2 linked regions of the Elephas maximus indicus genome follow. The protein of the gene in region 2 binds, or shares a complex with, the protein of the main gene of each other region. Links are inferred from orthologs where the notes say so. Each region holds a gene or a part of one and is shown on either strand. Other genes may lie near its edges.

What was found.
Region 1: the proteins of SCN7A (region 2) and SCN3B are in contact, whole or in part, in a cryo-EM structure (PDB 7TJ9), measured with the Homo sapiens proteins. The link is inferred for Elephas maximus indicus from reciprocal best matches to the Homo sapiens genes SCN7A and SCN3B. Residues at the interface, in NP_002967.2 of Homo sapiens: Arg269, Glu293, Tyr296, Leu298, Glu299, Leu305, Gln315, Cys316, Pro317, Glu318, Gly319, Tyr320, Asn922, Ile923, Thr926, Cys927, Lys929, Ile930, Phe939, Ile956, Tyr957, Asp959, Gln960, Ile966, Tyr970, Met973, Ile974, Tyr977, Ile978, Leu981; in NP_001035241.1 of Homo sapiens: Val25, Cys26, Val27, Glu28, Val29, Arg44, Ile46, Lys50, Arg51, Glu52, Glu53, Val54, Asn95, Gly96, Ser97, Asp99, Gln101, Asp102, Phe126, Phe128, Ala130, His131, Pro133, Val135, Thr154, Ser155, Ser158, Glu159, Met162, Leu165.

The regions. Positions count from the first base shown.
Region 1 is NC_064835.1:16,864,595-16,880,438, forward strand, and holds the start of SCN3B (sodium channel subunit beta-3), read right to left. Parts: upstream 6,142-15,844; 5' UTR 5,841-6,141; exon of another isoform or gene 5,317-5,840; 5' UTR 5,292-5,316; coding exon 5,237-5,291; intron 1-5,236. UniProt on the Homo sapiens protein: Regulatory subunit of multiple voltage-gated sodium (Nav) channels directly mediating the depolarization of excitable membranes.
Region 2 is NC_064824.1:64,588,430-64,604,558, reverse strand, and holds the start of SCN7A (sodium channel protein type 7 subunit alpha), read left to right. Parts: upstream 1-8,302; 5' UTR 8,303-8,586; coding exon of another isoform or gene 8,587-8,596; intron 8,597-11,512; exon of another isoform or gene 11,513-11,599; intron 11,600-14,809; 5' UTR 14,810-14,909; coding exon 14,910-14,955; intron 14,956-16,129. UniProt on the Homo sapiens protein: Sodium leak channel functioning as an osmosensor regulating sodium ion levels in various tissues and organs. While most sodium channels are voltage-gated, SCN7A is not and lets sodium flow through membrane along its concentration gradient.

The sequences.
Region 1 (15,844 bases), on a different chromosome or scaffold from region 2:
ACCAGCAGCTCTGTGGGAGAAAAGACCTAGCGATCTGTTCCCGTAAATATTACAGCCCAAGGAACCCTATGGGGCAGTTCTACTCTGTCATATATAGGGTCGCTATGAGTCCGATGGCACACAATGACAGAGGAGATAGAGCATGCATAGAGTCACTGGAGAAGTCCTCACTGAGAAGGTGACATCGAGCAGACACTGAAGGAAAGCAATGAGGGCTTGAGTTATGTGAATATCTGGGGGAAGGTGTGACAGAGAGAGGAAACAGCAATTCAAAGGTCTGAGGGGGGGAGTGTATTTTTTAAGGCTCAAGAGGCAGCAAGAACCCCAATGTGGATAGTACAGTGACCACGATGAGAATAGGAGATGAGGCGGGAGAGCTAGGCCAAGGCCAGATCATGGAGGTGGGCCTTGTAGGCCATGGTTACCCATTGCCATCGAGTCAATTCTGACCCATAGCGACCCTATAAGACAGAGTAGAACTGCCCCATAGAGTTTCCAAGGAGCACCTGGTGGATTCGAACTGCTGACCCTTTGGTTAGCAGCCAAACTCTTAACCACAAAGCCACCAGGGTTTCCAGGCCATGGTTAGGACTTTGGTTTTTGCTTTAAGTAAAATGGGGAGCACCGGAGGGTTCTGAGTGGAAGAAAGACCTGATCTGATTTTACACAAACTTTGTAAAATCCGATTGCTGTGTTGAGAATAGTCTAAAGAGGCAAGGTGGGACAAGGAAGGAAGAATGGAGAACAGCTAAGAGGCTGATATAGAGACCAGGCAGAGATGATTTTGTTTGGATGAAGGTGGTAGTGGAGGTGTTGGGATTTGAAAGAGAATAATGTACCGGATTTATGTCCTTGAGTAGGTGAGAGGACATGTTCTCTAGTGGATGGGTTGGCCTTTATTAGGAGCACAGTCAATTCACTTACAGTTAAAGGTGGTATATATGCAGTCTGGATGGTGAATATGGAACGGCAACAATATAGAATGGAAACCCTGGTGGCATAGTGGTTAAGTGCTATGGCTGCTAACCAAAGGGCTGGCAGTTCAAATCCGCCAGGTGCTCCTTGGGAACTCTATGGGGCAGTTCTACTCTGTCCCGTAGGGTCGGTATGAGTCGGAATTGACTCGACGGCACTGGGTTTGGTTTTTTTTTTTGTTTTTGGTCTCTCTTTCCTGAGTCCCTTTACCTATGTTATCTCACTTACTACCATATAATAAGCTGGCAACAAGGGAGGTACTATTATCCCACTTCGGATAAGGACATTGCGTCTTAAAAGGATTAAGTAACTTTCCCAAGGTCATACAGGTAGACATTTGAACCTAGGGCAGCCTGATTCTAAAAGCTGTGTCCCATCCACCACACTGTGTTAGAACACCTGGATTTGTTTCTGTCCTCTTTTGCATGTGCATCTCATAAGTATATTTCTAATTCTTATTTTTTTAATTTTTTAAAAATGAGGGCAGCATTATTCACTCTGTGCAATGGTGTTGTCATAAATATTTACAAACTGGCTCTCTGGGAGGGATAAAGGGTCCTGATTTGTAGTGTTTGCCAATCTCTGTGGTGTAAATATGCCCACTAAAGCCAATGTCAAGCTACCAACATGACTGAACACAGAATTGGGAAGAGCTGTGAACTTGTCTGTCTTGAGTGGGTGCAAATTGGCTGCAGCATCCATTGCCTTTGAGTCAATCCTGACTCACAATGACCTCATTTGTTACAGAGTAGAACTAAGCACCATAGGGTTTTCTCGGTGGTAATGTTTACAGACGCAGATCACCAGGTCTTTCTTCCCTGGCACCTCTACATAGGTTCAAACCACAAACCTTCCAATGAGCAGCCAAGCACAAGCCATTTGCACCACCCAGGTACCTTGGGCTCCAGCACGCCATTACTCAATTTCTGTGAAATTCTCTATGTATCCAAGAAGAGCTTGTACATATGGCAGTTGCTCAACCAACATTGCTGACTATAAAAATGATAAGCTCCTAGAATAATCTCGGCCAAGTCATTTGACCTTCAGTCTCCTGTTCAGTTTTCACAGTAATAATGGAAAACTATGAAGAACAAAGGAAGAATATGATGGCTATATCTAACTAAGGAATGCCAGTACCAGTTGCAGTCAAGTTGATAGCAAGTCATGGATACCTCACGTGTCTAGAGAAGAATTGTGGTCCATCGAGTTTTCAGTAGTTGATTTTTTTTTTTAAACTTGGGGAAGTAGACCACCAAGGCTTTCTTTCTAGGTTCCTTTGGGTAGACTCAAACCTCTAATCTTTCGATTGGCAGCCACACACATTAACCATTTGTACCACCCAGGAATTTCAACTAGGGAATAGCATCAATCTATTACGAGGTGGATAGTAACATATATTGAACCATCTCCTGTACTTTCCCTAAATCTTTCTCTGGTTTGGGCGTTGCCAAATTCCCCCTCCTGAGCCTGCTCTACAGTGCTTTTCTTTGCACCAAGATAATGAAAGCTTGGGTTAGAATGTAAGTATTTTCCAAAAGGGTATAATAAATAAATATGCTTTTAGATAATAACACCCTGAAATGACTCAGTCTCTTGGATTAGCCACTCAGCAGGGCCTTGAGGGAAGCTGAGGGTGCAGCTGGACGGGTAGACCTGGAGAGGAAGAACATAGAAGGCACTAGGAGCCTAAAGGATGGGTGAGGGCCTAGGAAAGACAGTCGGGTTTGGGGGGGCCCAGAGCCAAGAAGGGAGGACAATGCCACCTGGCAGGTTTACATAGCAGTTCCTGTGTCCATAAGACGTGCTAGAATGAGCGCTGGGAGACTGAAATCGTGAGACAGGAGTTCTCTAGCAAGTCCTTTACCCCCTGAGGTCATTTTCTCCTCTCTAAACTGCAAATAATACCGCGTCCTCTGACTATCTCATAGGGTTGTTACGGAGATCAAAAGATGTCACGGATGGAAAATTGCTTTGTAAACTGTAAAGTACCAGGCAAGTGTCAGGTTTTTTTTTTTTTTTTTTTAAGAAAATGTTTCATTAAAGGAAATAAGGGAACTTTTTTCAGTACATGCAAAAAATAAAAGAATAGAGAAGACTCTTTCCATTCATATTGGGCCTCATATGAGAAACCAACTTGGGAAGGGGGACTGCTACTAAAGCTAAACGCTTTCCAGTACTGGGATCACATGCAAATAAAATGAAATGGCATTTGTGAAGCAGGACTCTCTTACAGTTAACAACCAGCTTTTCCTGAACCATCCCTCCTTGCCTCTGCAGCTTTGGGGTTTGGTGAACAGATGTTCAGATTACAAAGCAGTTGAGATTAAGCAAGGATGTGTGTAATGTGCATGCTTCTTCCAAAGGTTTTTATTTTGCATGGCAGGGTAGGGGTGGGATTGGGCAATCTGCCAATTCTAGCAACATTCTGTAAAGATTTCCCATCATTCAGTGGTACAGCTGAAAGGGATGGTAAAGATCATCCGCTGCTCCAACGTCCTTGCTTTACAGATGAGGAAGCTGAGGCTCTGAGGTTGTTACATAGCCATCTAGTGGCAAAGCTCCAAGCCAGGCTTCTCAAGCCCCAAACAAAAGACCCTTCACAAGAATCCAGGCAGGGACCCTAAAAACTTAGATTAGGAAATATTGGGTTTTGGGGAGGATATTTCATGGCTTTAAAGAATATTACCCCAACTTCATCTCCCCTTGCTTGCTTTCCCTACGCTCTCTCCTACCCAGTCAGACTAACATCTCCTAAGCTTCATGTCCCTAGTCTCAGCCTCCCCTGAGAAAATCGCAGCCTTAAATCATCAAGGCAGGTGAGATCATTGGCAACCTATTATGTCTGCTGCATCTCTAAGCTTGGTCTGCTCTACTGGGGATGGATGGCGGTGAGTCTGCCCTTGGGGCTGACACTATTTTCCCTCCTTGTCTTCCTCAGCCCATCAGGCATTTTGTTCCACAGGAAACTTGGCTCTGTCTCTGGTCACATGCAAAATCCAGATAACGCTGGCAGCCAGAGCCAGTCCTGGAGGCTTGACAAAGTGATACTAAGGCAAAGACGCAATTCCCATCAGCACGTCTGCCACTGCACGGGCAGAATGAGGTCCATGCCAATCGAGAGCATAGTCCCACATGTCTCAGTGGGCACAATCATACTGAATTACCCTGGTTATTTATTTTAGCATGGAGAAAGGTAGCTAAGATCACGTAAAGCAATGTATCAACTGGAGGACACCTACATTTGACTGTGATGGTCTAATCAGAGACATCAAGGCAGAGATGCCCAGACCTAAACACACACAAATACACACACATGATTCTATTCTCACCAGTGTATTTAGATCCCTACACTAATCTGCTCAGGCACACACTAGCACACATTCAGACATTGAAAGGTACATTAACACACAGTAAAACATTCTATCACATATTCAGACATTATCAGGTAGGCTCATTAAGCCCCTTTTACATACATTCAGGCACGCCACCTCTAGGATAGCCCATCTCTGACACCATCCTTGCTTAGCCTTCTTGTTGCAAGTGAGGGACTCCCTTATTTGGAAGGAGAAGGTCACCTTAGTCTCTCACAATAGACAAACAAGAGTCTTCATCTTCAGACGTAAAACATCTAGCTTCGCAAACACCAAAGCACCTTAGCTCCACATGTTCATGGAAAAAAAAAAAAAAAGATCCAATTCCCAGTTTGCTGTTTATTGAATACACAGCAGTAAATAGCTGAGACCTGTTCTCCTCCCATTCGTTATTCAAATGAAGCAGGTGGACCTACAACTGAACCATTTTCACTCTCAAAATGCATGCATATAGCTTTTATTTATTTTTTAATGTAGGAAACTAATTCGAAGATCCGGCAAGATTTTCAGAAGTATTGGCTCCTCATTAAAAATAAGATGAAACTGCAATCAAGGAGATTTTTGTTTGTTTGTTTTATATAATGAAAGTGACTGCGTTTCCCTTTCAGCAGAGGAAAAAGAAATCCTTTGGAATGACCAGGAAACTAGAGGAGAGGTGGAAGACCCACCAAGGGAGGTTGGGGAATAAGGCTCCGGAGGGGAGGCGTCTTTCCCACCTCAGATTCCCAGCTTGCATGGAATCCCTTACGGATTTCTTCGTGTCTGCCAGAGATGCACATAGGGGAAGCCAACCGGGACTCCTTTTTGCCATCAATGCCATCAATATGTGTTATTATCGCTAGCATTATTACTGGTATCTGCATCTTGTACGGCAGGGTGCTGGTACTTACCCCAGTAGATGAGCACCAGGGAAGCCAGGGAAAACAATCTGTTGAAGGCAGGCATCTTTTTCAGCTAGTGGCTTCCGGGACTAAACAGAGAGATTCCCTCGGTCAAGGACTGCGCCCTCTTAGATACTTTCGAGGAAACCCTTCGGGACGAACTGCCCCCAGGGGGCGACGTTCTGACTGACAGAAGGGCCAAGAGCCCCGGGGAGGCTCTGTGGGCTGTTGGAGCCGGACAGGGAGTTTCAGCTTGAAGCTACCCTAGTCGACCGCCCCAACTGGATGGAGCGGCTCAGCAGCTCGGTGCTGGCTCCCCGAACCCGCGGCCCGGCTCCGGCTCAGCACCAAGGACAGTATCTTCCCCGCCCACCCGGAGCTTCAGATTCCAGTTAGCGCCCCTGCCTTCACCCGTTTGCGCCTAGGGAAGCTCGGCTGGGAAGCGAGGAGCTGCGCTAGGCGGCTCTGCTGTCGAAGGGGTCCATGTTTAGCCACCGCTCCTCCCCTACGAACAGCTACGCCCCGACCAATATTCACCGCCACCCCGGAGCTCCGGCTGCAACCGCCCCGGCCGGCTTCTCCAGTTGGGCGTGTCCCCCACACCCGAAGCCACCTGGGCCGTCCGTCTGAGCTGGAGGAGTCTTTCCACGTTGGTCAGTCCACACCCGTCCTCGGCTCCCCGGGGAGGCCCGGAGGGTCCGGGAAGGAGGCGGAGGCTACCGTCTGGCCGGCGATCTCAGAGGTGGGGGTGGGTGGGAAGGGCGAGCCCCTTCCCCGGAGCTCGCTTCTGGATCGCGCAGTGCCCCGATCCTCGGTGGCCGGTGGCCGGTGACCAGCTGCCGCTCTCCTGGCTCCCTAGCCGTGGGTGCCGGGTCAGCCGTGACATGCGCAGGCGGCTCCCCGCCCCCTTCCCCCGGGCGCCACCACGGACCCACCCCCTCGCGCACACACTCCCCACCCCCAAAACAGGCGTGCCCCTCGCGGGCGGAGTGTGGAGCAGAGTGGGGGCGGAGCCCTGGGAGGTGCAAACGCCTCCAGCCCCTGCAATCACTCTGTTCGCTGTCTCCAGGTCTTCATCCCACGCCTCTACACCTCTCCCAAGCACGGGTGCACCGTCTCCCACAGATTCACGCACTCCAGGCAACCCCACTCCTGCTCCCGCACTGACATGCTTGCCTCCAGCTCCAGGAAGGGGAGGGCCAAATCTCTTTCAGGCAATGATGTCATCTGCAATGTACATACTACATGGCTCCGGGCTTCTCTCCCCCGACCCCATCCCCTTCTTTTCTCCCTGTCTAGCCTTTTTCTGGCCTTGATTAATTGGTTTCGGGCACACCGAACGCAGCAAGAAAATCCCTGTTTAGGGGAAGTGAGGGTAAGAGTGGGGCGCACCTGTTCCCTGTGTTCACCTCATCCCTCAGTGGGGTGAGCCAAATGTCAGCCCGAGTGGCCCTGAGGGTGGGGGCAAGATAGGTCTCCTCTTCCCTTCCCCTGGTTCTTCGCAGCCCTCCCTCTTGCTCTAACCACTTCTGTTGTTGTTGTTATTTAAAAACAGATTGTAGTTTGGCCCTTTCCAACTATTAGCCAGCCACTCCCTAGTTCTAGCAGCTGTTTCAGCTCCCCGCCCCATCTCTGGAAGGGAAACCTGAACCTTTAAATTCAATTATAAGCTCAAATTGACTTAATAGATTAGGAATGCTTGGGGCTGAAATGAAAGATTAATACAAGAGTCTCTCCCCCCTCTTTTCTTCTTCCCTGCTCCTTTTCCAAAAGCAGTAGCTTAACACTGGTATTTCAAAAGGGAACCGCAGCCTAACAGCTGGGTGTAAGTGAACCCGCTGCAGGAAATTCTCTGTCCTAAAATATGACGAGCAACAGAATGTGCCCTATTCCAGAGCAGCACACCACCAGCCCGTAAACTATGTTCTTTTGAAGACAGCCCTTAAAAGCCTTGGATGGGAAGTTAAAGTTGACAAAACTCAACCTCCTTTCCAATTCGTGAACTCCACACCCCCTAGAACACACCTGAGGAGTGGGCTTGATCTTTCCTTGTGAAGGGCCTTTACTACTTCTATTGTTTAGGGAAGTTCTTTGTATTCCACTGGATTCTGTACACCTCTCTTTCCTCCCTCAAACACGATTAAGTATCCTAACGCTGTTTCCTGGAGCAAAATACGCGTCTTAAATCTTTGAAAGAGCTCTGCTTCCCAACTCCCACCCCAAGACTTTTTATTTGGTGCTAAGCTTCATGTCAGATGGATCCTGGTTGAAAGCAGAGAATACCAGAAGGATGTTTAAAAACTGAGTTTTATTGACCATGCAAAGGCACTCAACTGTGTGGATCATAACAAATTATGGATAATGATGCGAAGAATGGGAATTCCAGAATACTTAATTGTGCTTATAAGGAACCTGTACATAGATCAAGAAGCAGTCCTTTGAACAGAACAAGGGGATACTGCATGGTTTAAAGTCAGGAAAGGTGTATGTCAGGGTTGTATTCTATCACCATACCTATTCAATCTGTATGCAGAGCAGATAACCCAGGAAGCTGGACTATCTGAAGAAGAACAGGGCATCAGGATTGGAGGAAGACTCATTAACAACCTGTGTTATGCAGATGACACAACCTTACTTGCTGAAAGTGAAGAGGACTTGAAGCACTTACTGATGAGGATCAAAGACCACACAGCCTTCAGTATGGATTACACCTCAACAAAAAGAAAACAAAAATCCTTACAAATGGACCAGTGAGCAACATCGTGATAAACGGAGAAAAGATTGAAGTTGTCAAGGATTTCATTTTACTTGGATACACAGTCAACACCCATGGAAACAGCAGTCAAGAAATCAACAGACACATTGCATTTGGCAAATCTGCTCCAAAGGATCTCTTTGAAGTGTTGAAAAGCAAAAATGTAACCTTGAAGACTGGTGCGCCTGACCCAAGCCATGGTATTTTCAGTCACCTCGTATGCATGCGAAACCTGGACAATGAATAAGGAAGACCAAAGAAGAATTGATGCCTTTGAATTGTGGTGTTGGTGAAGAATATCGAATATACCATAGACTGCCAAAAGAACAAACAAATCTTTTTTGGAGGAATACAACCAGAATACTCCTTAGAAGCAAGGATGGTGAGACTACTTTTCACATACTTTGGACATGTTGTCAGGAAGGTTCAATTCCTCGAGAAGGACATCATGCTTGGTAAAGTACAGGGTCATCAGAAAAGAGGAAGATCCTCAATGAGATGAATTGACACAGTGGCTGCAACAACCGGCTCAAGCGTAACGATTGTGAGCATGGCACAGGACTGGGCAGTGTCTCGTTCTGTGGTACATAGGGTCGCTGTGAGTCAGAACCGACTCGACGACACCTAACAACAACAAACAAAAAGCTTCATAAATTTATTTCAGGGTATTTCCAATCCTTAACCACCCTAGTTGCCCTCTCAGGACGATTTTTAGTTTGCTGGTGTCCTTCTCAAAGTGACATCTGGACAAGAACTAACGTTTCCTATGTGGTCAGCTAGCATAAATACAGTGGAAATATGGTCATGCTTGCTTTAGAGGGTCTGGCTATTCAAATCCTCTTACACCACATCTCACTCATAATAAGCTTCTGGTCAATTAAAATCCCTAAGTAGTTTTCACTTGCACTCTGTTGGTTGCAGTCATTTGTACTCATAGAGAAAATTTAGGATGCCTTACTTTGAAAATTTGTACTTATTGCTGTTAAAATACATTAGTTCCAATCAATTATCACATCCTGTTAACAGTTTTATTGAATTTAGATTCAATCACCCAACATATGTCTCTTCTTTAGCCTTGTTTCATCTTTGGACTTGGCAGTCGCTTGATCGTAGCATAAAAAAAATAAATAAATAAAATGAACAGAAAGTAAACAAAAAGAATCCTTTGACATTCCTCTAGAGACCTCAGTCTATATGACAATGAACTACTAATTAGACTCCTTTAATATGGTTGCTTAATCTTAAATAAATACCCAAACACAACTCCCTGTTTTCCATGGGCATGACATGTTTGGAAAACTTAAAGGGCTTTATGTGAGAAGAATTAGAGTTCTAATGATCCAGAGTAAAGCAATAAGATCAATGGTTTACAGTTATATGGAAACAGATTTTCAGCAATACATTTCAAACCGTTATGAAGTGGAATGAATTACCTTTTGTTATGTTCAAGCATTTCCTCTACAACCAATTACTGTCGTAGAAAAAAAAATCTTCTATAGGTTAGAAATTTGGGATACCCTATTGATAAAGCTCCATACATCTTTGCCATTCTATGATTTTATTGAATGTCTTCCAAGATTGAGATATACAGAGTGACTGAGATATTTTCATACCGATAATCCTAACAAGCACCACCACACCGACAACTACCACAACTACCATCATGGGGAACTGGCTTAGCTTTACAGAATTTTTTCCTTAGCCTATCTATGCAGACTCCTAATAATCACATTGTCCTTTTCTAAATGTTTGGTAACCCCATTTTAAACAGTTAATTTGTGGATTTCACTTGAGAAGTTAAGAAAAATATACTTGCCTCCAGTTTCCTTAAGCTTTTCCTCCTCTCTTCTCTATTGAAAATAGACACATTTGCTCCCTGCTGTCTTCTGACATTTCCCTTGAATTTTGGCAATGGCTCTCAGTCACTTTTGCAAGTTCCTTAAGTTCCCTGAAGTACATTTGGCCTTGTATTCAGCCTTTAACTCATTTGAATAGTTTAACTCATCTCTTCCTCTTTTCTGCATTTTGGCTTCAGTTCTTTCTTGCTGATATATGACCTTTTTCGATTAAGTGATAATTCTCCTGTTATGGTTGACAGATGAAACCATTTGTTTAAATACTCCCAACAGTAGCCAGAGAGGTCTTTATCTTCTTTCTATAAGGTCATGTACCTGTTTTGCTTAAGCCCTTCAGTGGCATCCCACTGCACTTAGAATAAAGTCCAAACTCTTCACCATGGCCTAATAAGCCTCCCCTGACTGCTGGCTCTTTCTCCACACTCATGTCTATCACTCCCTGTCTTGTCCACAATGTTCCAGCTACACTTGATTGTTTTTTTAATGTTCTTCAAACTTATCAAGCTTTTCCTACCATAAAGCACTAGATGTCCCTTCTGCCAGGAATGTTCTCCATTCCATGGCTGACTTCTTGTCATTCGGGCCTTGCCTCAAATGACTTGTCCTTAGAGAAATCCCTGGGCACCCCTTTTAATCTAATCTCCCCACCTCCCCCACCTGAACTTACTCCCTTTCTCATTACCCTGCTTCTTTCCGTCATGTATTCTATTGCTATTCAAAATTATCTTATTTTTGATTTACATACTTGCTTGTTTTCTCCTATCAGTATCTAAGCTCCATGAAAGCAGGAGTCTTGTTTGTCTCGTTCACTGCCATAGCCTCTGCGTATTCTGGATGAGAGAATAAGTAAACATATGAAGGGGTGGAGATAGAGTGGAAAGAGAGAAGAGCTGAGGCCAGAATCAATAGAGGGAACAAGAAGAGTAGTCAGAGAAACAGAGGATCCAGAAAGATGCAATGCCACAGTAGGCAAGAGAGTCTCAAGACTTGAGGGGCATTCCTATTTAGAGGGGACTCCAGCTAATTGTGCTCAGAGGTGGAGGAAGAGGACAGGGAGTATGGAGGCTGAGATTTTCAGAGATTTTGAGGTGGAGGGGAGGGAATGACTCTGTTGAGGGAAGAAGCAATGGAATCTGAAATATTCAGGGAAAAGTTAGTTTTCCTGATGAAAGAACCACATTTCACTAAGACTATGGGGAGGAATTAGAGACAGCTGTGGTGGCAATGACATTGTGAGTAAAGGTAAAATATGGGGACCTTCTACCACTTGTCTATCAGTTTGCCGTACTGTGATGGCTTGTGTGTTGCTATGATCCTGGAAGTTATGCTGCTGGCATTTCAAATACTAGTAGGGTCACTAATGGTGAGAAAGTTTCAGTGGAGCTTCCAGACTAAGAAAAGCTAAGAAAAGTTGTCTACTTCTGAAAATTAGCCAATGGAAATAGTCTAGATTGGAAGGCACTACGCAATGGGTGGCAACAATGGGCTCAAGCATACCAACGATCATGAAGAGGGCACAGGACTGGGCAGCATTCTGTTCTGTTGTACATATGGTCATTATGAATCAGAGCTAGCTTGATGGCAACTAACAACAACAACATGGGGACCTTAGGACACACTTATCAATCTTGGTAAAGCAGGACGAAAATGATCCCCTGAGAGTAGAGGGTAGGGGGACAGGGAATCTGGGGTCAAGGGAGAGGCTTGGAATCGCTGTGGGATACTTCTTCATGCATAGAAGAATGCCAAGAAAAGTATTTCAAGATGAACACATAAATCAATAAGGGTCAAGATTCAGAAATCAGACATCAATCTAGGCAAGTCAAATGACCTGCTTTTGCTGTTTTAAGTAGATTTCGAAAAATAATGCACACCCCGTGGGACAAGGAGTGGAAAGAAAAATGTTTATTTTAAACTATGGCCAAAGAGCACATATGGAACTGAGAGATAGTCAATAAATCAATAGTAGGCTCCCCAAAATTGTTTCCTCATCCTGTCTCCCAGCCATGTGGTTACTGTCACTGGCCAAGAGAAGTTTGGGATTAGGTCACATCAGATCAGATCAGGAAACATGACATGACAACCAGAGTATGCAGTCCCCTCCTGGATCTGCACATTGCAGAGGAGCTGGCAGGGAGAGGGGGCCAGAAATGTTTGCTGAATTGAACCAAGCTCCAAGTGGATATTTAGGGAAGGTGGAGCTTTCCTGCCACCCAGGAGCACCCCAATTCCACCTGTAATGCCACCCTGTCTACAAAAGAAGCTCAGGTCACACTTCTCTTGACCAACATCCAGGGAGCCCGTAGTTAACGCCCTTAATGAGCAAGCTGTCAATAGGTAATCATTATAGTCCAGACATTTGAATGGCAATGAAGAAGATATGACTGACAAGGCACTTCGAGCTCCTCAGAAGAAAAGTTATGATATATTTCAAGTATTACTGTTAGCATGACATACGTTTTTATGCATTTCTAGCATGCATTTGGCTGGAACTCTTGGGGTAGGCAGAAGGAAAAGAACCCTTGGAGAAATAAGTGTCATTATTACCTTTGCTGCTGATCTGAATACTGCTGTTGCTCTGATGCTTGGAGCAAGTACAACAATTGGTCCAGACTGACTCAATGCTCATCAGAAATATTTTGGAAGAAGGAGAAAAATGAGTTCCACGTCAGGGACAGGCGGCCTGTTTCCCAGGCTTCGTTCCATTGTGACCGTTTAACTTACCCTCTCTGAGCCAATTCTCCGTCTCTAATTGTCTGCCTCCCAGGGTTGCTGTGAGAAAAAAATGAGATCATGTCTGTGGATCTGTTTTGGATTTTTTATTGGAAACCCCGTATGGCGTAGTGGTTAAGAGCTATATATGCTAACCAAAAGGTCGGCAATTGCAATCTACCAGCTGCTTCTTGGAAACTGTATGGGGCAGTTCTACTCTGTCCTACAGGGTCGCTATGAGTCAGAATCAACTCGATGGCAACAGGTTTGGTTTGGTTTTTATAAAGCTGAGGGATGTTAGGCTCCTATTTGGACTACGTCTTTAATCTTTACAGAGATGTACTCAACTTTTAACTTCAGCATGATGAGAACCAATCAGCTTTTCATGATTTACCATCATCTTTATTATCACTTCCATATCAACATCATTATCTTTATCATCATAATAATATTTGAGGGCATGCTTTCTCGCCACAACAATTTTATTGAGTAAGCACTATTATTATCCACATATATATATTTTCTGTTGTGGGGGTGGTGTCTTAGTCATCTAGTCCTGCTGTAACAGAAATACCGCAAGTGGATGGCTTTAACAAAGATAAATTTATTTCTTCACAGTAAAGTAGGCTAAAAGTCCAAATTCAGGGTGTCACCTTCAGGGGAAGACATCCCTCTCTTTGCTGGCCTTCTCATCAATCTTCCCCTGGACTTGGAGCTTCTCTGTGCAGGCACCCTGGGTCAAAAGATGCGCTCTGCTCCCAGCACTGCTTTCATGGTGGTATGAGGTCCCCCAGTCTTTCTGCTCGCTTCTCTCTTCTATATCTCAAGAGATTACCTCAAGACACAATCCAATCTTGTGGGTTGAATCCTGCCTCACTAACACAACTGCCACCCATCCTCCCTCATTAACATCACAGAGGCAGGATTTACAAAATATAGGAAAATCACATGATACTGGGAATCATGGCCCAGCCCAACTGATACACAGATTTTTGGGGTGACATAATTCAATCCATGACACAGGGGGAAACTAAACTCAGGTAGTCCCCAACTTACAGCATATTCAAGTTATGATGAACTGCACTTATGCCCATCTTTTTTTGTACATCCTTTTGTTAGTAATATGTACTGCATACAATGTTGCAGTGCTTAATTTGCTGATGTTATCATTCTCATAGCAACCCCTCAAAACAATGATCAGATTTATGAAAATGAGGTGTTCAACTTACGTCAGAACTGGCTTACGATGGAGTTGTCGGCATGTAAGTTGGGAACTACTGTACAAGTGATGTTAAATGACTTGGCTACTCAACCTGCATGTGCCTAAGCCAGATCTCAAAACCAAGGCTCTTTGTCTCCAAAGACTTAAGAACTCCTTCCTGTAAGACGTTCACCATCAAAAGACACGTTCATGTTGAAATCAGACAGTTAATGACTCAATGTGCAATGTGAAGTTCTAAGATGGGTGCTGTGTGTGTATATGTATTTAGGGTGAGAAAAAGTAGGCACAACCCCTTTACTCACAAAACTTATAGTATGATGGAAAAGTATGACATCTAAGAAAAAGACATAAGACAATCCAATATATTGTGTGTTCGTTTTTGTGGGCGGGAGGAGGGAGTTATAATTATTTATCATTTAGAGAGTTTACATGGATTAGCGTGAATGAAAATCTCCTGGTTGCTTATCTCTTTGTGTAAAAGAAATAACTGCTTGGCCTCATCTAATATAATCGTTGTATTTTTTAAGATATACTAACATTTCATTGAATTTTCTTGATATTCCTGTGAAATATGAAATACTAGACATCTATTTTAGACGGCAAGAACTGACATCTAGAGAGATTAATACTGCCACACTACATTCATTCATTCAGAACACCTTTACTGCATCCTCACTCTATGCCAGGTATTGTACTAGTCTCTGGCTTTAAAAAATAACTGTGAAAGAGTGTGGTAAGGGTAGTATTGTATGCAGATGGCCTGGAAGATGGGGACATAAATTATGGGGTGGGAGTAGGGGTCTGGGAATTTTGAAAGTGGTGATATTTGAGGGCAACCTTGAAAGGATGAGTAGAATGTCCCAAAGAGCAGGAATGGTTGATGGAGGTATGGGTGTTCTGAGAAGCTCACCTGGAGATGCAGATGGCACTCTCCTGGCTCTTTATTTGGGGCATCTTTCACTGAATGGCACTATTTTCAAGTAAGGTTATGATTTGGAGTAACAGAATGAAGTGATGGAAAAGAATAATATAATAAGGGTTATACATTGTTTTGGAGCCCTGGTGGTGAAGTGGTTACGCATTCATCTGCTAACCAAAAGGTCAGCAGTTCACATGCATACAGCTGCGCCTTGGAAACTCCATGCAGCAGTTCTACTCTGTCCTATAGCGTCGCTATAAATTTACTTGACAGCAACTGGTTTGGTTTTTTGGTTATACATTGCTTATTACCTGTGTAACTTTGGGCATGCTATTTAATTCCTCTGACATATGATGTCACCATGAGTCGGAATTGACTTGGAATTGTTTTATATGAGCTTCAATTTCCTCAGCCTTAAAATGAAAATAATAATAATACCTATCTTGTAGCTATTTATGAAGATTAAATGACTCAAACATATAGACCACTTGGCATAATACTCGGCCCTTAGCACAAACATAGTATGTATTATTTTCACCCCCTCCTTCATTCATTAATAAGAAGTAGGCACTGTTATTACCCAATTTATCTTAGGAAGCTAAATACAAAAAAGTTAAATGACTTGGTCACTCAATTTGCATGGAGCAGAACCAGATCCATCAATTCTTTGTTTTCCATGCTTGGATCTTTCTCACTGCCCCTCTAATGGACCCAGATTTCACCAGCAGCCACATGGCCAGGAAAGGCCCAACACACCAACCCCAGGAGTTAAAGGAGGAAATGGAAGGGCCTTTGTAACCAGACCATCTGAAACAATAAAATACTTCTTAAAAGTTCGGCAGAATTGCGTTTCTGTAAATACGTGCAAAGAATGAGACTGTGTCTGGTGTTTGGGAAGGGCACAACGCTAGACTTTGTGTTTCAGAATCAGTAATGAAGTCATGCTGAGTAAACCTAAGTGAGCTGAATAGCTGCCAAGTTCCTACACCCTACCTTCAGGCTTCTGCTTCTATGCACTCACCCCGAGTTAGCCATGGGCTCCCACAGCTCTCATGGCACACCCTTGTACCATAGCTCTTGTGGAATTGCACTGTATCTGAGTGTTTGGGGGGGGCCTGTCTCCACCACTAGTCTGTGGTCCACTCCTCAAGGG
Region 2 (16,129 bases):
GATACCATCATAGGAGTGAGCACATATAAATACTGAGAATCATGGCCCAACCAAGTTGACACACAATCTTAACCATCATAGACAGGTACAGAGACAGTCTTAGATAATCTGATTGAAATGTCCTACCACATTGCTTATAGAGTTTCAAATTTCTCCCTGGTTCCATCCCAGGCTTTCTTCAAATACTTTTGCCAAATATGACACCTACATAGAAAAGCGTGCCTGTAAAACATTATATTACGTTTTATGAAATAAATTTAAAGTCACAGATTTCTAAACTCATTTATTCAACAATTAATTAAGCATTTACTGTAAATTGATTATGCTCAGTACCATGTAATATTGTTACATACATTTGCTTGTACCAAGGCCACAACTATGCAAAGAAAGAGACCTAAATGTAATATAGCTCTAATAGCTTTAAAGCATTTAGTGCATTTAGGAAACTTACTTTTCCCTGCTACTCAGCCTGCATAATTTATTGTCTGCCTTTCTCCAGCATGTCCAAAATCCTCGTTGTATTTTTCTATAAGTAGTCACAGTTCCCAGGAGGCCAGTCTAATTACAATGTGGCATGATTTCCTTTAATCTGTCCATTTTTATTTTATTAAAAATGAATGTTTTGGAATTGTTTTGTTTCTGCTATTGTTCTGTAATAATTTAGTCAAATAATTACAAAATATCTAACATTTATTAAGTAATTACAAGTAATTACTATGTCAAAAACCTTATACTTTTGCATCATTTAATCTTCTTAATGACTTTAGACATAGATACATTTTTATCCTTGTTTTACAGATAACTTGGCATAGGCAACAATTCTTGAGTTTCCAAAGCTCATAATTTCAGCCATTGAGTCTGTCTGACAAAAATAAAAAGGAAGTTTTTAAAGTTTCTGGTGCCAAAGACAGTGCACAATACAGTGAGGCATACAGGTAAGAAAGATACATTCTTCGACTTCCTGGTTGCTACATTCTGGGAGAAAGACAGAAATTTTAAAATGACACAATTAATTAAAGTAAGCAATATGAAAGCCCATAACTTGGACGGCTAAGTCTGTCTCATGGGAAGCAGCAAATATTCTCTAAGGATGTAGCAAATAAAAGATAGCTGGGTGAAGGGAGAATAAAGTGAGAGTCAAAATGGCTTGAGAGAATGTTGAAGAAGGAGCGGATTCACATTACGTTATTATTATTATTTCTCTTTTTCTGTAATGTACTGATGAAAAAAACGTCTGTCTTCTCTGCTTATAACATTTCAGAAAGATGGATTTTTACCAACAGCCATCAAGTCAATTTTGATTTACGGTGAGCCCATGTGTATCAGAGGAGAACTGTGCTCCATAGGGTTTTCAACAGCTGATTTTTCAGGCCCCCTCCTTTAGGGTGACTTATTTACATAAATTATTTGGAATTCTTCTGCACAAAAGATTAGTTTCTTTTCCCCATTTATTAATTTATTCCATTATCTACTTATATCAGTATGGACTCATGGATATTTTATACTTTGGGTTTAACCAACATTATTTTGTTTCTCAAATTGCTCCAGCTTTCGCCATTCAGAGATCCTTCATTTGGCACCTAATGTCTCTTTTACATATCCCCATCAATGTGGGCTTTGGTTTTTTTTGGAGTTTTGTTGTTGTTGTTGTTTTAGCACTTCCTTATCTTATAGCACTACAAGATGCTCCAGGCTCACCTTGTATATTTCCTGCTCCAGGCCTAGAATAAACAGTTTCTAGAAAAAGCCCTGGCTTCACTGCAAGTATCTTTTTTCAGTAACATAACCAGCAACTATACAAGTGGATGTTGACAAATGGAATACACAGGAATCAAATCAACTACATCTGTGGAAAGAGATGATGGAAAAACTCAATATCATCTGTCAGAACAAAGCAAGGGGCTGGCTGTGGAACAGACCATCAATTGGTCATATGCAAGTTGAAGCTCAAGAGAATTAGAACAAGTTCATAAGAGCCAGAGTATGACACTGAGTATAACCCACCTCAATTTAGAGACCCACTCAAGAACAGATTTGATAAATTGAACACTAATGACCGAAGACCAGGCCAGGTGTTGAATGACATCATACATGAAGAAAGCAAAAGGTCATTTAAAAGACAGGAAAGAAAAAAACACCAAAATGAACGTCAGAAGATACTCTGAAAGTTGCTCCTGAACGTAGAGTAGCTAAAGCAAAAGAAAGAAATGATGAAGTAAAAGACCTGAACAAAATATTTCAGAAGAGGGTGTGGAAGGAGGGGTATCATTGCATGTTTGATGGATCATGGCTGAAAGAAGAGTATACCAAAAATATGTTTACCTGTGTTTTATTGACTATGAAAAGGCATTTTACTGTGTGGATCATAACAAATTATGGATAACATTGCAAAGAATGGCAATTCCAGAACACTTAATTGTGCTCATGAGGAACCTGTACTTAGACCAAGAAGCAGTCATTGGGACAGAACAAGGGAATACTGCGTGGTTTAAAGTAGGAGAGGTGTGCATCAGAGTTGTATCCTTTCCCCACACTTAATCTGTATGCTGAGCAAATAATCAGAGAAGCTAGACTTATAAGAAGAAGAATGTGGCATCAGGATTGGAGGAAGACTCATTAACAACCTGCAATATGCAGATGACACAATCTTGCTTGCTGAAAGTGAAGAAGACTTGAAGCACTTACTGATGAAGATTAAAGACCACAGCCTTCGGTATGGACTACTATTCAACATAAAGAAAACAAAAACCCTCACAACTGAACCGATAAGCAACATCATGATAAATGGAGAAAATATTGAAGTTGACAAGGATTTCATTTTACTTGGATCCACAATCAACATGCATGGAAGCATTAGTCAAGAAATCAGACAGTGCATTCCACTGGGAAAATCTGCTACAAGAGATCTCTTTAAAATGTTAAAAAGCAAAGATGTCACTTTAAGGACTAAGGTGCATTTGACCCAATCCAAGGTGTTTGCAATCACCTCATATGCATGTGAAAGCTTGACAATGAATAAGGAAAACCGAAAAACTGATGCCTTTCAATTATGGTGTTGGCAAAGAATATTGAATATACCATGGACTGCTAGAAGAACAAACAAATCTGTCTTGGAAGAAGGACAGCCAGGATGCTCCTTAAAAGCAAGGATGGCGAGACTTTGTCTCACATAATTTGGACATATTATTAAGAAGGACTAGTCTCTGGAGAAGGGCAGCATGCTTGATAAAATAGAGGGTCAGCGAAAAAGAGGAAGACCCTCAAGGAGATGGACTGACTCAATGGCTGCAGCAATGGGCTCAAACATAACAATGATTGTGAAGACGGTTCTGGATCAGGCAGTGTTTCGTCCTGTTGTATATAGGGTCTCTGTGAGTTGGAATCAACTTGGCAGCATCTAAGAGAGAATGCCCTAAAAGAGTTTTTGCTACTTTTTCATAGAGAAGCCCAGCTGTCTCTTACCATCAATTGTCTGTTTTTTCATTTCTGAGAAGCCCTAAGAAATAAGGTTTTTGTTTCTCTGTGATAGTTAAACCACCCTTTACAGGTTTATTCACTAATCAGGTTCAAAGTCTGATAGTTCCGGAACTTTAAGACAGGGATGGAGACTGTGACAACATTTTCTTGGAGAAGCTATAAGGAACCCAGACACATAAACTGAATCATAACAGAATGCTATACACATGAAAATAATCATAAGAAACTGATTCTGGCTTTGCAACACTGTGTTTGTATATATTTGTTAGGATAATAAAAGCTGAAGGCAAAAGATTACAGGTATTCGTCAAAAACATTGTCCATGATTTTTAGAAAGTTAAATGGCATTGGTGAAACAAAATATGAAGCTAGGAATTATGAAATTCAAGTGACTTAGAGAGACATATGTCTACAATATAATTTATATCATGTCGACCCTAAAAAATATCTAGACCTGGATTTTGACAACAATCCAAAACCAATATCTATTTCTTATTCTATAATAAGATAGGGGAAGTGCCTTTCTGGTGCTGAGTGATTTATTTCTCTGAGTGCCTTGGCATTCACCCATAGAGAAGATTGGATTTTCTTGTTCTCGCCATTTCTTTTCAGGCAGACCTGAGCTTGGTATCAAGCTTCTACAGTCGAGGGAGATTTTCACACCTGTACATTAAAGAAGCATTTTAAGTATAAAAATACCAGAAGTTTTGCAGAAGGAAAGCATGATCAACAATGCTCATGTTCTTCACATAACATGGTGTGTTTCTGTGATGAATTACTACATTTTCCCTGAGGTCCATATGGATTGGGTCATTTGTAATGTTCATTCCTTTGACAGATTCACTGAGTACCTTTTACGTGACAACCTGTGTTTCAAGCACCAGTGTATGACAGTCAATAAATAAAGTCAGCTGTCATTCAACATGCGTTCCAGTGAGACAAGACAGAAAATAAACAAATAAGCAATAAATATTTAGCATGTGAAATGAGTACAGTCCTAGTCACGACACTATTCAATGTGTGAGTGTGGGAATTCATAGTTGAGGTGGAGTGGAGATAAAGATTGTCTACTAGAGAAGAAATCAGAAGCTATGTCTCATCCAAATGGTGTTATCATCCAAAAGTTTGAGGAAGTTGTTAAAAAACCATAACAAGAGTTGGATGGAGGGGAAAGCTCTCAACCAGAAAATAAATCCTCAAGGAATAAGCAAGGAATGTCCATTAAGTCAGAAGATGATTTTTACCAGAAGAAAAGGCTGATACAGCAGGAGGACATATGCTCAAAGGAGGAGTTTTGATTTGTTTGGGTTTGTGAAGAATTATTGTATTTTGTTTTTGCCTTTTTTACACAAGGTTTTGTCAACCCTGCAAGTGGTGATATGAGCCAAGACGAAAAACACCATGTCCATCCAATTCTGACCCTCATTTCTTTGAGGGTGGAATAAACAGCCTCTGTTTAAGCAGGCTGCAAGGAAAGTATGCTCCCAGGGGCCTATCGTGGTTCAAGTGAAGCACGATAGAGCAGGCTTCTCTTGGAAAAGGCAAGGCAGGACATGCATGCTAGAGCTTTAGTCTGAGTCACGACCTTCTGAATACGTATTTAGGCAGTACAGCTTAAAGTATATGTTTCCAAGGTTCTTAAGGCAGGCATGTGGAAAATAGACAGCAACTGAGCCCTCCCACCACACACGTCTCCCCTTGCTGAACAACTCTGTGGGGGCACATCAGCCTATTTTCTGGAGCATAATAATTGTCACAATTTGTCAGGTTCAGCTTAGTAATATTGTCTAACAGTTTCAGAGCAATAACAAAAAGCATGGTTTCCTACTCAGAAGAATAAATCCATTATCAATTTGCCTTTTGCTTGTATTATTGGTTTGTACAATGTCTTGAGATTGGTTTCCTGTTCATTACACTTATACAAAATAACACTTTGTTTAATATATTCCAAATATGTTATTTAAGCTTTAAACTTTTTGATATTATTGTTTGTTAAGTCTATGTTATGTTGCAATGTACTAAAAGGTACATAAAATTTTACTCAAAACCAAACCTGTTGCTGTCAAGTGGATTCCGACTCATAGCAACCCTACAGAACAGAGGAGAACTGCCCCATAGAGTTTCCAAGGAGCACCTGGTGGATACAAACTGCTGACCTTTTGGTTAGCAGCCATAGCTCTTAACCACTATGCCACCAGGGTTTCCTCAGCAAGGGGTGGGGCGGGGAACAGCTGCTGTGGAGTTGATTGGATGCATAAATCAGATTGCTTCAAAGAAAAATTCCATGGGCTAGAAAATTTACTTGAATTATCACTACAAAATGTGCGGAAAAGAAGCTGGCAATCCACAAATTGTCTATTAAAAAAAGGTTAAGTATAGTATTGCACAGGCGGTTATTGTCATTGCTGTCAATAAGTTGTACACCTGTAAAAAGTTAAATTGGCAAAAGTTACGTGGTAGATATATCTACAACAATGACAAAAAAAAAAAGAAGACAGAGTAGCTGCTGAGGTTTTTCATTTAATGTACAATGAAAAACCTCATGGGATTGGTTTCTTGGTTTGAGGTTTAGGGTCATGGTTTCATCGGACATCCCAGTTAATTGGCCTAACAACATGTTTAGTGCCTTTGTTCTACCACCTAGCTCTACGCATAGTGCCTGCAGTCTTAAAAGCTTGCAATTAGCCATCCAAGGCACAACAATTGGTCTCTGTTCACCTGAAACAACAGAGGAAGAAGTAGAGTCAGGAATAAAAGGAGGATATAGAATGTGTGACTGATTGCCTCCATGAACAACTGCCTCCTTTGCCACGAGACCAGAAGAACTGGATGGTGCCAGCTACCATTACTGAACATTTTGATCTAAGACTCCATAGAATAATTCTGATCAAAAGAGGGAAAATGCAGAACAGAATTTCAAATTCTCATGGGCTCCAGACTTCCAGGAGCCGTGAAGTTTGGATGAACCCATGAAACTATTGCTCTGAGATAATCTTTAAACCTTAAACCAAAAATATCCCCTGCAGTCTTCTTAAAACCAAACAATAGCTTAATCTAACTAGTAAAAAAATGTCTGCCTTGAGCATTATGCTCTTTTAATTACTATCTATACGGGATCAAATCGGTAGCAGTGACTTGAAAGATTAGACAGGAACCGTAGGGGGCAGTGAATTTGTGTTGATGGGGGAGGAAGAGCTCAGAAAAGGAGGGTGAGAACGGTTACACAACTGGAAGTTTGTAATCAATGTCACTAAATGGTACATGTAGAAACTGTTGAATTGATTTAAGTTTTGTTGTGTATATTCTCAACAACAAAATAAATAAAATTAAAAAAAAGTTAACTGGGTATTTGATGCCAAAATCAAATAGTTATTGTTAATTTTTAGGTGTTATAATGGTGTTGAGCTATATTTTTTAAAAGTCTTTGTCTTTCAGGATACATGCTGAAATATTTTTGGATGAAATGATGTGCCGTTTAGGCTATGTTTAAATTAATCCAAAGTAGGTGAGTGGGGTATAGATGAAACAAGATTGGCCTCCTATTGGTAATAGTCGATGCTGTGTGATGGATACACTGGGGTTTATTATCCTTTCTTCCTATTTTTGTATATATTTGAAAGTTTTCATATTAAAAGTATAATTTAAGCAAGAAAACATGCAACAAGGACTTTTTTTGCATATAATGAAGCATTGTTTTCCTGACATATTTTGCACAGAACAAACTAAACTCATTGTTGTCCAGTCGATTTCGACTCATAGAGATGCCACATGTTTTAAGAGCAGAACTGTGCTCTGTAGGGTTTTCAATGGCTGTAATCTTACAGGAGTAGATTGCCAGGTCTTTCTTCCTTGGCTCCACTGGATGGACTCTGACTGCCAACCTTTCATAGTCTAGCACAAACCCTTTGTGCCATCCTGCGACCAATTTATAATTTCTGTTTCATACTTTAGAAAATCACATTTGAATTTTGTATAATTATACATATTTTATAACCTTTCCACATTTTTTAAACTTTTCTTGGTATGTAGCAGGAGTGTTTTTTAAGGAAACATCACCATTTTAGATCAAGGTAGGACTATAAAATGAGTGTCTTATAGTGTGGCAAAATTTTCCAAACTCCCTTTGGAAAAGAAGGTCCAGCACTTCTTCCCATCACCCTCAAATTACGCTGCTACTCACTAGTTTTCCAAAATATGCATAACAGATTTTGCATCTGAGGTGAGAAGGTTATAGTAGCTCCCACGGGCTCTTTCCCACACACCTTCACACACACACACACACACACACACACACACACACACAGCAGTAGCAGCAGCAACACTACACACTCCTACCTACAGAAGTGTCCAGATTTGGATGCAGCACGCTGACAACTGCCGCTCTACTGGGGCACTTAGCCGTGGGGAGAGAGAAAGCAGCTGCTGAGAGAAAAATAGGTAAAGGACCAGAGTTTGCTGTCTTCCTCTCCCCCTTCTCTCTTTCCTTCCTTTCCTCTCCCCAGCATCCCTGCTTTCTCTCCTCTCTGGTTTTCTCCCGCCCCTACCTTCCATCATCTCCTCCAGGCCTTCTCCCCAGGTTCCCCTCCTCAGTGATCCGTCTCCCCCGCTCCCCGTCCCTGGCAGTTTGTAGAGGAGGCTCAGCAGCTGCTGCTTTTATCGCAGCCGCCGCTGCAGGTCTCTCTTAACATCACCCCCGCCCACGCCGGTCTGCAAGCTGAAGGCGCGCACTGGCCTGGAGATGAGGGCGGGGGGAGAGAGAGGCTGCTAGAGGGGAGGGAGGAGAGGCAAGGAGACAAAAACAGCTTCCAAGCAGCAGGCGGGGCCTTCACTGGGCATCTGGGAAGGAGGGGTCTCTGGGTCAGTGGCTGGGCACCCGCCCCAATTACTCCTATTCTAGCTGGTAATTCAGTGGGGCGGTGTACAACTGAACCCTTCTGGCCTGGGTGGCATCAGCTGGCGAGGGCAGACGTCAGCCTAGCAACACACCTAAGCAACCAGAGCTCAGGAACCTGGAGAGAGCCCTGAAGAAAGAGAAGCCCAGGAGGAAGAAAGGGCTTCTAAAGGCCCAGCTTCTCAGGGTTCCCTCAGGTGCTGGTGGAGACCTGTCACATGGTAGCAAGTAAGTGCCTTTTCCTTGTTGTTTCCTGTCCTGGGATGGTGATAGCAGTCACCAGCTGCCAGCCTTTCCAACTCCCCACCTGCCCCACCCCATTCACCTCCTTAGGATTGCCGGCAGGAGGATGGAGATTAAGATTCTGGAAAGAAATTAGGAGAGCAAAAGATACGTCTTTTTTCTACTTCAAGAGCAGGGGTGGCCGGTGGGTGTTTGTTCTTCACTGTGTGGTCCCTTTACTCATCCTACCACCTCATAAGCTTCTGAAACAGAGTTGTTCTGTTAATGCAAAATTTCTAGAAACCGTAAGTGGTGATGACTTTTATATTACATGAAATGATGCTCACATGTAAGGAATAAAAGCTTTGCAGAGTTGGAGTATCCTTCTAAGGACTCCCATCCCTTGTTCTAATTAACTTCGTGATTTCCAAGATTAGTGCTTTTTGTGTCAGAATTGTCAGTTTGGAAGTAGATACATAGATGTGATGGGAAAGGTGGGAAAGGTGTGCGCAGTTTAAACCACTGGGTATTTTGGTATTGTGTGGGCCAACAGGTTTTTGCATTGTGTGGTTTTGTAAAATGCATATTTTCTGGAGGTTTTCTTTTAAGGAGCAATAATGTTTTCACTGTGATTCTGGTTATATGTGGCCTCCAGTTGCTAGGATGTTGGTCAAAGCAGGACGGATGATGAATGCATGTGGGATGAATCACTGATGGTTCCCTACATTAATGGAGACGATGGACTCAAGTCTGGATGCCGGCCAGAAAAATCTCTTGAATTGGAGAAGAGTTTGGGTGGCGCTTTTTCATGTGGATATTTTTCCCCTGGCTATTGCTCAGGAGAGTAGTTTATCGCAAGTAGAAGGGAGTTGGGGCCCTGTGATAAACATAGAACTGGGCACTATACCTGCTACAACCAGCCCTACTTGGAGGTTCTGTAATTGCTTCTATTTTTATGAGTGAGAAAGAAAAAGCCAAAAAGGAGTAATTTGATGTCGTTACCTGGCTAGTCAACAATATTGAGCTGGAAGTCGAGTGAGGAAGACTTCGGAATTTAGAATTCTAACACTTGATTGAAATCCTTATGCAAATGAAGCATTATTAAACTTGATTAAAGTTTATTTTCTCTCTTTGTAAATGACACATCAAAAAGTCCTGGTAAGGACTAGATAACAGAGATACCTGAAGGGTTTATATCATGCGTAACAATTACTTGTATAAGGAATTATTCTGTGTTTTTTCTCCACTGCACTTTTATTCTCAATTAAGTTCAATACTGGAATGAAAGGAGATTCTTGTCAGGCCTCACTAGAATGCACTAGAAGAAGTTCAAATCCAGGTCATGGTCTCTTGCAACCTATATAGCTTAAAGCATATTCTAACTGCAAGCCTCTGTCCTTGCAAAATTGTATGCTTTGGTTATCCACTTATAATTAAACACTTTGAATGTTTTCAAAATTCACTTTACCATCTTTCTCTTTTTAGTTGTAGTTTTTGTTTTACGTGCATGGTCCAACTCCCTCAGGATTAAAACACCATGTATATTGGATATTGCTGAATTTATTTGGTCTATTAATATGGGAGAAATAAAAATTTAGGCATAAATGCTCTACTTTTGACTGCTGAGATTCATTAAAATCCTACACTCAGAGGAAACAAACTCTAAGCCTCTTCTTGCCCATGACTGTGTTTAAAACAGGAGAAAAACCTGAAGTTGGACCTAGGCTCAAGAAAAGTGGCCAAGAGAGGCCAGAAGACAAGGTCAGGCCCCTGAACCTGGTGCTGGGCATCAGCCTCCATTGGAGAACTGGAGATAGAACCAAGCACTTAGGACCTGGGCAATCAGTCTACACAGCCTCCTGTGGTAAAAGCATTAGTTAGGATAGTTGAAATACATGCTCACTGATTTTGCCCAGGTAGGATGAATACAGGTTTAAGGCATATTGTGAATGGATCCAACAGTACATTGCTCAACCCCTTATATAGGGGAGAAGAATCCTAATGTTTCCCTGGCCCCAGATCTCATTGGCACAAGATCTGTACTGCAGAAATTATTTCAGACAACTAGGGCACTCAGAGACTGACATGCAACCCTCAACCTACCATCATAAGCTCTCTCAAAGGTTTATGATAGAGGCATTAACATGTAAGGGCCATTCTTGATTTCCGGGCATCTGGTCTCATTATTTAACCAGTATCAATACTGGGCAGCTGATGAGATGGACATCTGTAACCCTGCCCACCTCCATCTCCCCTAGCTATCAGCAAGATATGAGTCACCCACCTGCACGTAGAACTAACTTGTACAGGCAGATCTTTTTTCCTTGTGTTGATCACCATTGGTGTGGGCTAACCAGTGCCATATAAACCAGGTCTCACCTGTACAACATTGAAAGGTGGAACTTTGGTAGTTGAAGAGAAAATTTTCATCTAAGGGCTTTTAGGATTGTTTTTCAGCTGTTCCATATCTCTTGGCCCAGCTTGGATCATGATTTCCATATATTTGTTCAATCATAGCTTTTTATAAACCAGGCTTAATTTGTTTGTATTCTAATCCGATGGGGGGAATCCTCATTTGCCTGGAAGACAGATATCCTTGTTGTACATGCAGTATTTCTAACTGGATTGGTTCAGTCAGGTGCTGGCTAGGGATGGCCAGCTCTGTGGACAGCTCTGATTGTGGTGAGAGCCAGGTTCCAGACTGGCTGCATCAACATCAAATAAGAGCCTAATGAAGATGCTGAAGCTTGGGCTCCACACATTGAAATTCTGATTTTAAGGCTTTGAGATTAGTACAGGGCATTTGGTTTTAAATGAGAACATCAGATGACAATGATATTCCGCCACATTTGGAGACCAAATTCCCTAGTCGAATAAATTGTGTTGACTGGAATATTCTTTCTCTTCTGCTTTCCATACCAGGTTTCCATATGAGGCTCACGGTCCACTGATCTCTCACCCTCTGTGCACTCCCAGGTGCTGCATAGTCTAACTGCCTGATCACAGGCTGTAATTTTGACTCTGACCCATATCTAGTCTCTGTGCCCATCTCAGAGTGAGATAAAAACTAACTCATACTCATTCTAATATGTTTCAAGTTTCCTCTAGTTGCTCTCCAATTTGAGAAGGGGTGGGGTGGACATCTATTTGCTTGGTTCCACATTTGAAAAACTAGAGTAGGTAGTGGAGGGGAAACACTGGAAAAGTAGACAGACACTTTCAAAGTGAGTAGGGTCTGAGGTAGACAGCCAGTTCTAAGAGGACACCAGGGTTCCAATGAATGTACTCGTTCAGGATTTTTTGTACATTTTTTTTTTTGCATTCCGTAGTGCCAGCGGCATCTTATACCACAAGTCAGAAAATCTCCGGGTTGCTGGTGAGACTAGAAGTTGCATGCATAACAGGAACTCCTTTGTATTCTCCTGGGCTGGGGAAGAATACATTCCTCCATCTTCAGTTCTTAAACGGCCTCTGGCCAGATTCTTCTGGTCTAGGGTCAGGTGGACTAGGGTCATGGAACAGTTAATTCTAGCAAGATCCTGGCTTTTTCCCAACATGCTTGTTTTGATGGGCTGAATACATGCAGCTTGGCAGTTTCCATCATATCCGTAGAAACAAGGAACGCTGATAGTGAACCATGAGTTTGTCACAGAGAAGATCAACAAGGAATTCTTAAAACTAAGGCAACTCTCCTTCATGTTCCTGGAATTCTTTCTTGCGGCCATTGCCTCACCAGTCATAATGACTCACCCTAGCGTGATTCCATTTCCAACAGAGGCTTTCTCCTCTGTGAATTTCCCTCTAGGCATTTGAACTTAAAATGGACTTTTTCCTGGGCTCATTCTTGTAAGTGAATTTGAGACCAGGTGCTGAGACTTTGTCATATGACACTTTGGATTCATATTCCTCTAGTATAAGTTGGCTGTGCCACTCTGAATATGCGTGGCCTGTACTCCTCCTTGGGGAAAGGAAACACATACAGCAAACTCAGCTCCTGATTATTTTAAGGAACCATCTCTAGAACCCAAGGTCACCAGAGTTTGGGGGAAGTTCTTAAAAGAGGACTTATTTATTTGGGGAGTGATGGAACCTGTCCCTCTTGATTTTCTCTGCTGCCCATTTGTTTATAAGGCCATTTCCCTAGTCATTGAATTCAGAGGAATGTCTGACATTAAAATTCTTCAGGAATATAATCAAATCAAAATGGCAGAGTATGGTGATATTTTTGAGAAAGTTACTTATTTACAATTTTCCTTTGCAAAATAGAATATTCTAGGAATGTGTTGGCTGAAGTTGTCAGAGTGAAGGAGTTGAGTTGGAGTTAAGTGGATATACTGAGGAAAAGGACCTGAAGCCAGAATGAGTTGACCTGTGAGCAGAACACAGCTTGAGGCAGAATATAAGTCCAGGGACAAAGAGGCAAAAGTCAATTAAGTCAGGTTAGATTAACGGTATGACAGGGACAAGTAAAAAGCAAGAATTGAATAATCAAAATGGAAGTAATCAACCCAAGTAGAAGTATAACCCAAAAGCTGAAAAACAAGTGGACTGAAGCCAAGGGGGAAGTTATGGAACACCCGTTCATACGGAAAGCTGCAAATTCCAGGTGGACTGGTGCCATCCCAGTCAAACTGTCCTTTATTCCCAAATCTTCAGTGTGCAAACCTTTCTGGGTCTTAGTAATACGTATACACAGTGAGTTACAGCCAAGGAGTATAGAAATATTAACTGGAAAGCAACAGAATCCCTTGACACTTTTTTAGTTCCTGTTCTTGTTAGTCCAAGTGCATAGATATAAGAGTTTTCTTCTTTCCAGGGGGGAAACATGCATGTACCAGCATACATAATTCCATGTTTAAAATCTTCATAAATCCTTTTGATCAAAGATGAGCAATGCAAGCTATTCTCAATATTACTTTTTTCACTTAGTTTATTTTGGAAATCTTTTCATAAGGGCTCAGATATATCTATCTTATTACCGTCTTACTAAAAAGTATTCTATGACAGTGACATACTGGAATTCATAGTATTAACTTCTTAGGGTGGACACTTTGATTGTTTCTAGTCTTTGAAATTAAAAATATGCTGTGATTAACGTCTTTGTTAACATGACTTCTCAGTCTTCAGCAAGACTATTCATGGGGCAGTTTAATTGCTGGGCCAAAGGGTACAGGCAGCTGTATTTTAGAAACTATTGCCGATTGTCCTTTAGAAAAACTGCACTAATTAGCACTCTTTTCCAAAACATATGAGGGTGCCCATTGGCTCTAGATCCCAGCCTGCAAAAGGTCACATCCCTTGAGCTGAGTCTTAATTATGCCTCAAGAGATTTACTATTAGAGTTATTGATTGTGTTAACATTATCCATATCCTTTAGAATTTCATTAATTTCAATCATCTTTCCTGATAGCTTTCTGCTTCCTAGGGGATAATGACAATATTTTTGGATCTCCCATAAGAGAAAGCAGTGCATGTGACATCTCTTGATTTCTAAACCCTGGGAGAAAAAGGATTTTAATCAAAGGGCTCTAAGGGAAAGACTCTGCGTCAGAGAATTTAGCTGTGAGTCATTGCAGAATGTGGGAAAGATGAAATGTAAGTCTTAATGTGTCTATTAAGTGCAATCAAGTGGCCCTGACCAACAAAAATGTCAATCTAAATGGGTCATTTCACTAAAGCAGGTGTGGTCCCTACATTCTCAACAATACAGATTCCATTTACTGGTCACATTAATGCTGCCTCCTTCATTTATGCCTGCAGTATCTTCTAGCCCGAGTTAACTTGTTTGTCAGCTTTGTCATAGTTATCATTAATGTCTTTACAGTCATCTGAAAGTCATTGGTACAATAGGTTTGTTGCATTCTCCATGTCAGATATAGAGCATAGCTGTTTCAAAATAGTTTGAAACCACTAAATGATAAATCATTCTACCCTTCATTTCCTATTCCATGTCAGCATGAGGTTGGCATTTGAGATATTATCCTTAGTCTATATGGCTCTACTGTCTTACCTGGTTTCTTTGTTTTGTTTTGTTTCTTTGCTTCGTTTTTCTTAATTTATTTTATCTTGCTCTGTGGCCTATGTCCTTGTAAGCTAATCTAGATATCTTTGAAAACATATGAGGATTTTTTAAAAATCTATTAATTATCTGACATAGAGTAGAACATTTAACAATTGTCTTTGGCAGACCTAATCTAACATCTGTTTTCTCATCCTTAGGATCAACTCCAGCTTCCCAGAAAGCATAGGTCTGTATATGGCATGATCTTTACTTTGATGGACATTTTTGTTCCATTTGAAGACTGTCCAGTTTACCTACATGCCTTTTCGATGTGGTGTTCACGGATCACAACAGAATAGAAAAGGTCCAAGTAAATTTTAATCTCAATTTTTAAAATTCACAATTACTTCCCAAATATTATGGGCCACTCACTGTACTAGGCATTTTTACCCATATTATTTCATTTTATTCTTCTTTAACCCAAGGAGAAGCCTCAATTTTATGACTGAGAAAACAGTCTCAAGAGTATTAAGTAATTTGACTGAGGTGTCTCAGAACATTTGTGACAGAGTTGAGGATTTGAATATAGATCTATCTGATTCCAAAGTTCATGATTTTATTTTTTCTATTTGTTTTTACTAGGGTATTTCTCTACTGCAATTTTAATTGTTGATGTGTTCAGTAAGGCATGTACAGAGTTTGAGAGTGTACCATATGCATTAGCCAACAGCCTTTGTGAAAGGCCCCTGAAATTTTTTAAATCTATTATCCAGCATATATTTTTGCATGTTGTGAAACATTTTATAAACTGACTTACTTGAAGTCCAAATGTGTGCTTTTCTTAATTTTCCTGATTAAATAATCTAGAATTTTGGTGATAAAATAAAGATGAAAAAATTAAGCATGAACCCTGGTGGCACAGTGGGTAAGAGCTCAGCTGCTAACCAAAAGGTCAGCAGTTTGAATCCACCAGCCGCTACTTGGAAACACTATGGGGCAGTTCTACTCTGCGGTTTGATAACCCTTAAAACCCAAAAACCCGCTGGAGTCGATCCAATATTCCCACTCTCACTGACCCTATAGGACAAAGTAAAACTCCCCCATAGGGTTTCCAAGGAGCAGCTGGTGGATTCAAACTGCCAGCCATTTGGTTAGCAGCCAAGCTCTTAACTACTGTGCCACCAGGGCTCTGAGTAAGGGTTAGTTCATATAAAAAGATCCCTGAGCAGCCAGTAATGCTATAAAGCCTATGTAGTTTTCTTTGGAGAAGTAAAACCATTGTTAGTCCTTTACTCAGAAAATCGTCTGATAGTAGGAGTGGATTAGAAATAGCAAGACAATATCAAGTCATAACTGACTGCTCAGGTGGGAAACAGAAGAACTCTAAAAGCATACTAATGGGATCATTCAGTAGTTGCCTTTGAGAGCATCACTATGATACTATGATACACTATAATACAGTAATTAATGCTTATAATGATGACCATGAGTCATTAAGAAAATATTAATATATATTTAAGAATCTCTGTATAAGGGAT